2 linked regions of the Neurospora crassa OR74A genome follow. The protein of the gene in region 1 interacts with the protein of each later gene in a biochemical or structural test. Links are inferred from orthologs where the notes say so. Each region holds a gene or a part of one and is shown on either strand. Other genes may lie near its edges.

The links.
Region 2: the proteins of NCU05959 (region 1) and NCU01199 form a complex in vitro, tested with the Saccharomyces cerevisiae proteins (3 studies listed by BioGRID). The link is inferred for Neurospora crassa OR74A from reciprocal best matches to the Saccharomyces cerevisiae genes VTI1 and TLG1.

Annotation. Positions count from the first base shown.
Region 1 is NC_026506.1:3,311,437-3,315,317, reverse strand, and holds NCU05959 (vesicle transport V-SNARE protein VTI1), read left to right. Parts: upstream 1-1,815; 5' UTR 1,816-2,132; coding exon 2,133-2,532; intron 2,533-2,608; coding exon 2,609-2,807; intron 2,808-2,883; coding exon 2,884-2,971; 3' UTR 2,972-3,381; downstream 3,382-3,881. UniProt on the Saccharomyces cerevisiae protein: t-SNARE found in various SNARE complexes involved in multiple transport pathways. The composition of the t-SNARE complexes is specific for a limited number of v-SNAREs and therefore allows only the vesicles carrying the matching v-SNARE to fuse.
Region 2 is NC_026505.1:3,218,084-3,221,685, reverse strand, and holds NCU01199 (SNARE domain-containing protein), read left to right. Parts: upstream 1-1,420; 5' UTR 1,421-1,635; coding exon 1,636-1,682; intron 1,683-1,772; coding exon 1,773-2,505; 3' UTR 2,506-2,801; downstream 2,802-3,602. Other genes in the region: NCU01200 (peptidyl-prolyl cis-trans isomerase B), read right to left, coding at 56-207, 277-403, 465-789; gle-1 protein, read right to left, coding at 3,114-3,602.

The sequences.
Region 1 (3,881 bases):
ACAGGATTCCAGATCAACAGGAGATACACCTTGGGAGACACCAGGAACGTGGAGACAGCACGGAAGAGAAGAAGACAAGGAAGGCCCTGATGATGTTTTGAATTAATTAGCTGTTCCGGATGGATAAGGTGAGGAGCTGGAGAAAAATAAGACCCTGGGCTACCGGAGCCTCTGGAGTTCTTGAGGAGCCCGAAGAGAAGCAAAGCCTCGGACGTTGTTGTGGTGTGTGGAAGGATGTCAAGAGAGAAACCAAACAAATCAAGGGGGACCTGGGCAGACTCGGAGTGGCAGGGGAGGGAGCACCAACAAAGTGGATGACCAATTGGCGTCCGACTGTCACCGTGTCTTGGCCTCACCCCTCTGACTGACGGGGTCCAAGCCGTGGCCGAGCTGCGAGGAGCTCCAAGAGGTTTGGAAACGGTGGTGTTGCTGTGCCAGTGGCCGGTCACGACACCCGCGGCGCCCAAAGAAGAAAAAAAGCGACGGCGGAAGCGCACGGCAGATCCTGCTAGATCCTGGTAAAGGTAAGCGGGCAGGGGACTGGCCAAGCCCTGAGCTAGCCTGGCCAAATTAAAAAAGATGGGGCCAATTCGGTGCCGATGGTGGATGACGGTGGACGCCGGCAACGGTGAGTCGCTGAAATCGGCCGCCGATGTGTCAAAACCGTCGGACGTTGGCGTGGGCTTTTTCCTTCGGCGGCGGCGGCGGCGGTACGTAACTCGATCCTGGTGAATGTCGCCAACACTCTCCACTAGCCAAGCGATGATGTATTCCAGCGAATCCTATGGCGTGCCGAGAGTGGATCAGCCTGACAAACCTTCGAATGAAGAACCTCGCAGCGAATTCTCGAATTGTGACCGGGGTCGCTGATTTGTCCGTTGGTGATGGATGTTTTGTGGTGGAGGTTTAGTCAGACGGGTCGGTATCGCTGGGCTGAAGCCTGGTGTTGCTGGACGACGAGCAACAGAGAGAGTGTATGAGTGCGTGTATGTGTGTAAGTAAGTGTGTGCCACGAGGCCGGACCAGATGGCCATGAGCAGTCCTGGTGTTTTGATGTCGGCGACGAAATCCGAATGTCATAGCTGACATATATATGATTTAACAGAAGGTGCAAATCTCGTGGCAATGTCGAGCAGCTACCTACTATTTGCGCCGCAAAACAACATTGCCGACCAATCCGACCCGACTGCCAGGAGAACATTTTCCCAAAGCATCGGTGGCGACAGACTACAAACCCAAAAAAGACTTGGAAAATTCAAGACACCAACCAGAAACAAAAGGCTGGCAATGTGTCCATTTTCTGGGGAAACCAGCCAAGGTTCGCGTCAAGCAGCCGTGACAGTGTCTAGGCAGTGTACACTATATTATCTTAGCATGTCTTGGGACGTGGCCGTTGACTGGACCTTCTAAGCGATATGTCCCCCAAAACAGTTCCCTTCCCTAGGTCGTCATCGGTCTCAATTCGTTGCTGGCTGGTGAAAGGTCAACTCAGTCATACAAAGAAACCAATTGAAGAGTTTCAAGACGCCAAAGTCCCCGGCAGTCCCAGGCGGGGTTGATACGTTCAACTGGACACGGTCCGTGTAAGTTACACTTTGCAAACAATACATACAGCGCTTGCGTACACGTACTGCAACAACACTGCAATACATGCGGCAACGCCAAGCATGTGTACGTCACCCGCCTAGGCTGCAACTGTAACCACTGTAACTGTATGTAACAAGCGGAATGTCATGTGCCCATGCTGGTCCGTGCCCACAGCTGCTGTCGTCTCCCGCCTGCGGCCTGCCTGCCTTTCAGTTCGCTTGTCAGGCTGCTGAGACGACCGCAACGACTAACGGGGCTCGAAGCACACTGGTGTCGCTGGCGACAGACAACATTCGACGACGACCACTACTCCTTGCGATCAGACCAACCACACGCCAGCCCAACCACATCTCGTCCAACGCGACCGCATCAACGACGCCCCTCTTTGGCATGATTAATGACGAATCTGAATAATTGAGAATAACGATACCCGCCGATAAACGAGCATCACCCCGATACGGCCAGCCCGACGACAGCACCCCCACACCTGCCCCGAACCCCAACCTCCACATCCGATAGCAACACATAACTCCATTGAATCCAAGATGGCCAACATTCTCGACAGCGAAGCCGGCACAGAGCTCTTCAAGCATTATGAGACGGAATACCAGCTGGTCCAGGCCGACCTGGTCCAGAAGCTCGACCAAATCTCGGAGCTGACGGGCGAGCCCAGGAAAGCCGCCCTCAGCACGGCCGAGCGCGCCCTGGAGGAGGCCGGCGAGCTGCTGGACCAGATGAACATGGAGAAGCAGAACGTGCCCAGCTCGTCGCGGACCGCCATCAACAAGCGACTGCGCGACTACCGAAGCGACGTGGACAAGTATCGTCGCAAGCTGCAGACGCTGGCGACGGACCGCAGCGCCCTGTTCGGCGGCAGATACACCGATAACCCGGGCTCTTCGAGTGGCGATAGGCATTTTGAGCAGAGGCAGCAGCTGCTATCTGGTGGGTGGTGGACAGAAGCACCTTATACATGGCAAGAAGAAACGGAATGCTGACTATTTCCCCCGAAACGTAAAAGGCACCGACCGGCTCGATCGGAGCACACAACGCCTCAAGGCCAGTCAGGCGCTGGCCGCCGAGACAGAGGCTATTGGCGCCAGCACCCTGGCCGACCTGCACCGCCAACGCGAAGTCATTGAGCACACCACCACGATACTATACGAGAGTGAAGGCTATGTGGACCGAAGTGTCAAGACACTAAAGGGCATGGCACGCAGGTACCACCCTCCCCTTTTGTCCCAATGCGAATCATGATGATTAGGTAATACTGACCACTTGCGCCTTTACCATTAGGATGGCTACGAATCGGATAATCACCATTGCGATCATCACCGTGCTGGTCCTCCTTATCATTGCGGTTATCGTTAGCAAGTTCAGGTGATTGTGTCGAGAGAGCTGAGCGAATCCATAAAGAAGCAATACAACATCAGGTAGAACAGGCAGGGGTGTTCAGTGACATCACGATATATACGAACAGGTGGTGGATGGTTTGGACTGTACCGATGGAGCGTTTGTTATAACAGAGACATGTTCCAGTTCCATGTTTTTCGTATCGTAGGGATGGTATCGTACGGGGGGTTGTATTTTTACACAGACGGCGTCACAAAGGGAGGTGGTTTCGAAATTTAGACGTATTTCTTTCTCATGACCATACGGCGGCCTTGCTTCCATGGACGTTCCGACATCCGACAGGGGAAAACGGCTCGCCATGTCCACCACAACTCGCCGCCACATGGGTAGCGGATCGTTCTCTATGATTTCAAATGATTCTCCTCTGAGACATAGTATCCCTGACTTTGGTCGGTGTTGACCGGGGCCTTGGTTAAAACAAATTTTCTGTTGGCCACTGTTGTTTGAATGATTTGCGTTCACCACACCTCTGCTGGGATGTGACTTGGTAGCTTGGTAGTTCTACAAGAAACAGAGAGCGAGCCTTCGACAAAGTCGCTATTTCTTGTGCCCAAATTAAGCTTCTTTGCCACCCTGAAGAACCGTGGTGTACTGTGTATATCCCAGCAAGAACTGTGTCTTGGTAACTCATGTACACTACAGGCCTATTACAAATGAGTAGACTAAGAAATTTTCCATGTGATGGAAACACGCATCACTGCAAATCACGTCAAGTCATCTTCTTCGAGATACTTTCGTTGTTGTTAACATTTGCATATAACCCCACTTTCACAGATACGCAGTACATAACGGACCCTCAGACCTTCCACAGCTCCAGTTGAACTTTAGGCGGTGAAAAAAAAGAAGTCCACCGGACTGATGTTCCGCAGCTCAAGCTGCAG
Region 2 (3,602 bases), on another chromosome or scaffold:
AATGGGGATTCGCAAGGATGGATAGAAGACGCTTTTTAAAGCTCCACATGGATACCTTCAGGGGGAACCTCAAGCTCGCCACTCTTGGCGATCTTGATAGGCTCAGCAGGAGCATCGCGAGGACCGGTCTTGGTGTTCTCAATCTTCTCGACGACATCGTAGCCCTCGAGGACCTCGCCGAAGACGACGTGCTTGCCATCGAGCCAACTGCGACAAAATGTGTATTAGCCAACCGGGCACTTCCTAGACCATGCGGCTCGAGTGTATTCGACTTACGAGGTGATGACAGTGGTAATGAAGAACTGGGAGCCGTTGGTATCCTTGCCAGCGTTGGCCATTGAGAGGAGACCCTTCTTGGAGTGCTTGAGCTTGAAGTTCTCATCGGGGAACTTGTCACCATAGACTGTACACAAGCGGTCAATGATATGGACCAAAGTGCATAACGGAACTTGGAAGCAACATACTGGACTTGCCACCGGTGCCATCGCCCTTGGTGAAGTCACCACCCTGGATCATGAACTGCTTGATAACACGGTGGAAGGTAGAGCCCTCATAACCGAAGCCCTTCTCGCCAGTGGCAAGAGCGCGGAAGTTTTCAGCGGTCTTGGGGACGGTCTTGCCATAGAGACCCATAACGATGCGGCCGAGGGGCTTGTCGCCCTGCTCAATGTCGAAGTAGACCTTGTGGGTGATCTTGGGGCCCTTGGCTGCCTCGGCGGACTGCGCAAAGAGCAGCATCGCGCCGAGGAACAGCGTGGCGGCGAGGAGGAGTCGCCGCAAGCTGAACATCTTGACGGTTCACGATAGTTTTTGGGTTGAGATGGAAAAAGACAATGACCTGACCCAAGTCAAAGAATTGGTGGAAAAGAAGATGGAAGAGGAGGAGGAGGAAAGAGAGAAGGAAAAGGACAGTTGATGAGACACTATGATTCTCTTCGGTTACAGTGGTCCCCGGCTCCGTTGAAGCTACGTTTCACCTACCAAATCGGGCGAGCTGCCCTCCAGGCACTGCCCGTCCCCGCGACTGGGGAACCTGGAACCAGTGCACTGACAACCGGACCGACAGCGCGCGTCGTCCAACCAGTTCTTTAGATCAAGGGCCTCGCATTTTCCCCTCAAAACAACAGGGGCAGCAGTCAAGGTGTTCAGACAAGACGGGGATTGATGGAATCGTTGGGGTTCGTTCACAGCGACTGCGCGATTGCCCTGAGACGAGGGAGCGGGAGCTGCACCGCTGCAGAAGCGGGGCAGCCGAAGAGGTCCATGGGATGGATGTCTCACGCCAAGCCGACGGCGGGTCCAGAACCACATGTACTTTCTAGACTCACCCTCAGCCACAAAGGGGGGTGTCAATCTGGAGCGCCGCGCTTGTATGCATAGCGCCGCTACTACAGTACCTCGAGGCAGTTGTCGAGATCGTGAACCCTGCCGGCCGCAACGTCATTATACTTTGGTCTTTATTTTAATCAAACACAATAGATCACTGCATATACCACCACTTCCTCAATCTCTTTACCTCTATGCAGTGAATCTCCACTTCCTTCAACTTGGGACTAATAAGGCCGGCGCATGTCGATTGATGCGACCGACAACTGATGCCGCAGCTTTACTCCTCCTCGTCTTCGCAGTAGCGCGATGATGTCCTCCACGAACGAGGAGGACCCCTTCCTTGAGGTCCAACAGTATGCTCTGACCATCTCCCCCTTTTTTTCCCAACTCACAAACCACAATCAACCCAAAACATTGACAGCTAACCAAAACTTCAAACACAGGGACGTCCTAACCCAACTCCAATCCACCCGCTCCCTCTTCACCTCCTACCTACGCATCCGCTCCCTCTTCACCTCTTCCTCCTCCTCTTCCACCGACTCTCCTGAGCTGATCGCGGCCCGCTCCGACCTCGAATCCGCCCTCTCCTCCCTCGCCGAAGACCTCGCCGACCTCGTCGAGTCCGTCAAGGCCATCGAGCGCGACCCCACGCAATATGGCCTGTCGGCGCACGAAGTCACGCGGCGCAAGCGCCTTGTGCAAGATGTCGGGTCCGAGGTAGAGAACATGCGGCAGGAGCTCGCATCCAAATCCGCCGTCTCTGGAAAGGGTACCCAGCAAAAGGACCAATTACCAGACCCATCATCTTTCGCCATCCCGGACGGTGAAAACGGTGCCGCTGGCGCCACCGGCGAAGACGACGATTACGCAGCCGAATTCGAGCACCAGCAGCAGATACAGATGATGCGCGAGCAGGATCAGCATTTGGATGGGGTATTCCAGACGGTCGGCGTGCTGAGGCGGCAGGCGGACGACATGGGCCGTGAGTTGGAGGAGCAGAGGGAGATGCTGGAGGTGGCGGACGATTTGGCGGACCGCGTGGGAGGGAGGTTGCAGACGGGGATGCAGAAGTTGACATATGTGATGAGGCACAACGAGGACACGCTGAGCAGTTGTTGCATTGCGGTCTTGATCTTCGTATTGATTTTGTTGTTGGTTTTATTGCTCATTTTGTAAGCTGGGAGCTGGACGGCAGGATTGGGGCTGTGTTTTGGCTGACTAGACTAGGCGGGCTGTTTTCTTTTTGGGTTCTGCCGGTTAAGAGGAGTTCTGAAGGGGTGTCTATGATGTTTGGCTCTCCTGTTACTTATTTTGCTTTACCGCCTACAGCATTATGATGGACGGTCATACGGTAATACAATAATGACCTACTGGATCACTGCAGCCACGAGTTGTTGCCGCCATGGTCCAGGTGAAAACGGGCATCGGTCAGCAACATTGAGTTTGGAGCCATACAAAGGCTCAGTTCTGCACCCTTTACAGGGCTTTCTTTCTCTGAGTGCTGATGTGGTAGGTTTTTGTTTCTGTATGCCCACTACGAGCTTCGCCGCCTTGATTGTAGATACGCTGGGTATATAACAGAAAGCGCCAAATACGCTGGGAAGCCCGGCCTTTCAGTTTCTTCTGATAGAACACTAACTTTTCGTAACCGGCACATGGCAGACGTTATCCTTCCAAGATGCTGAAAACCTCAAATGACCAAATCCTGAACGCCGTTGATATGACTTTTCTTTCTGACACACAACACACCAACCCCATTCCTCTGACACACACGACCACTTTATTTATCCAAGAGCAGCTCCAGTACTCTTCCTGAGCAGATCATGGACAACCTGCAACGAGTTCACGGCACTCGACTTGACCGGTGCCCGAGCAGGGAACTCTACGAGCGCGGTCCTCAACGCCGCAAGGGCAGCGGTTCCATATGCATGGATAAACTTCTCCTCGTAGTTCTGGATCATAGCTTTCAGAACCACGCACTGGGTATTTGAGATTTCGCCTGAAGGGGTGTTGACAATCTTCGCCATGGCCGCCCAGTAATGTCGTGGTGGGTATGGGTTTTGCTTCTTGGACGAGGCGAAGTTTCGCAACGATATCGCGGCGAAGCCGGCACCGAGACCCGTCATTCGGTCAAAATGCACCTGCTCCGTAACCCATCTTCCATTGTCCTTCCACCACCCTATCCTGGCGCGTCCTTGCTCCGTCTTCTCGCTGCCCCTATAACCCCACAGGACGGGACAGACGATGCGGAACTTGGCGAGAAGGATGTCGAT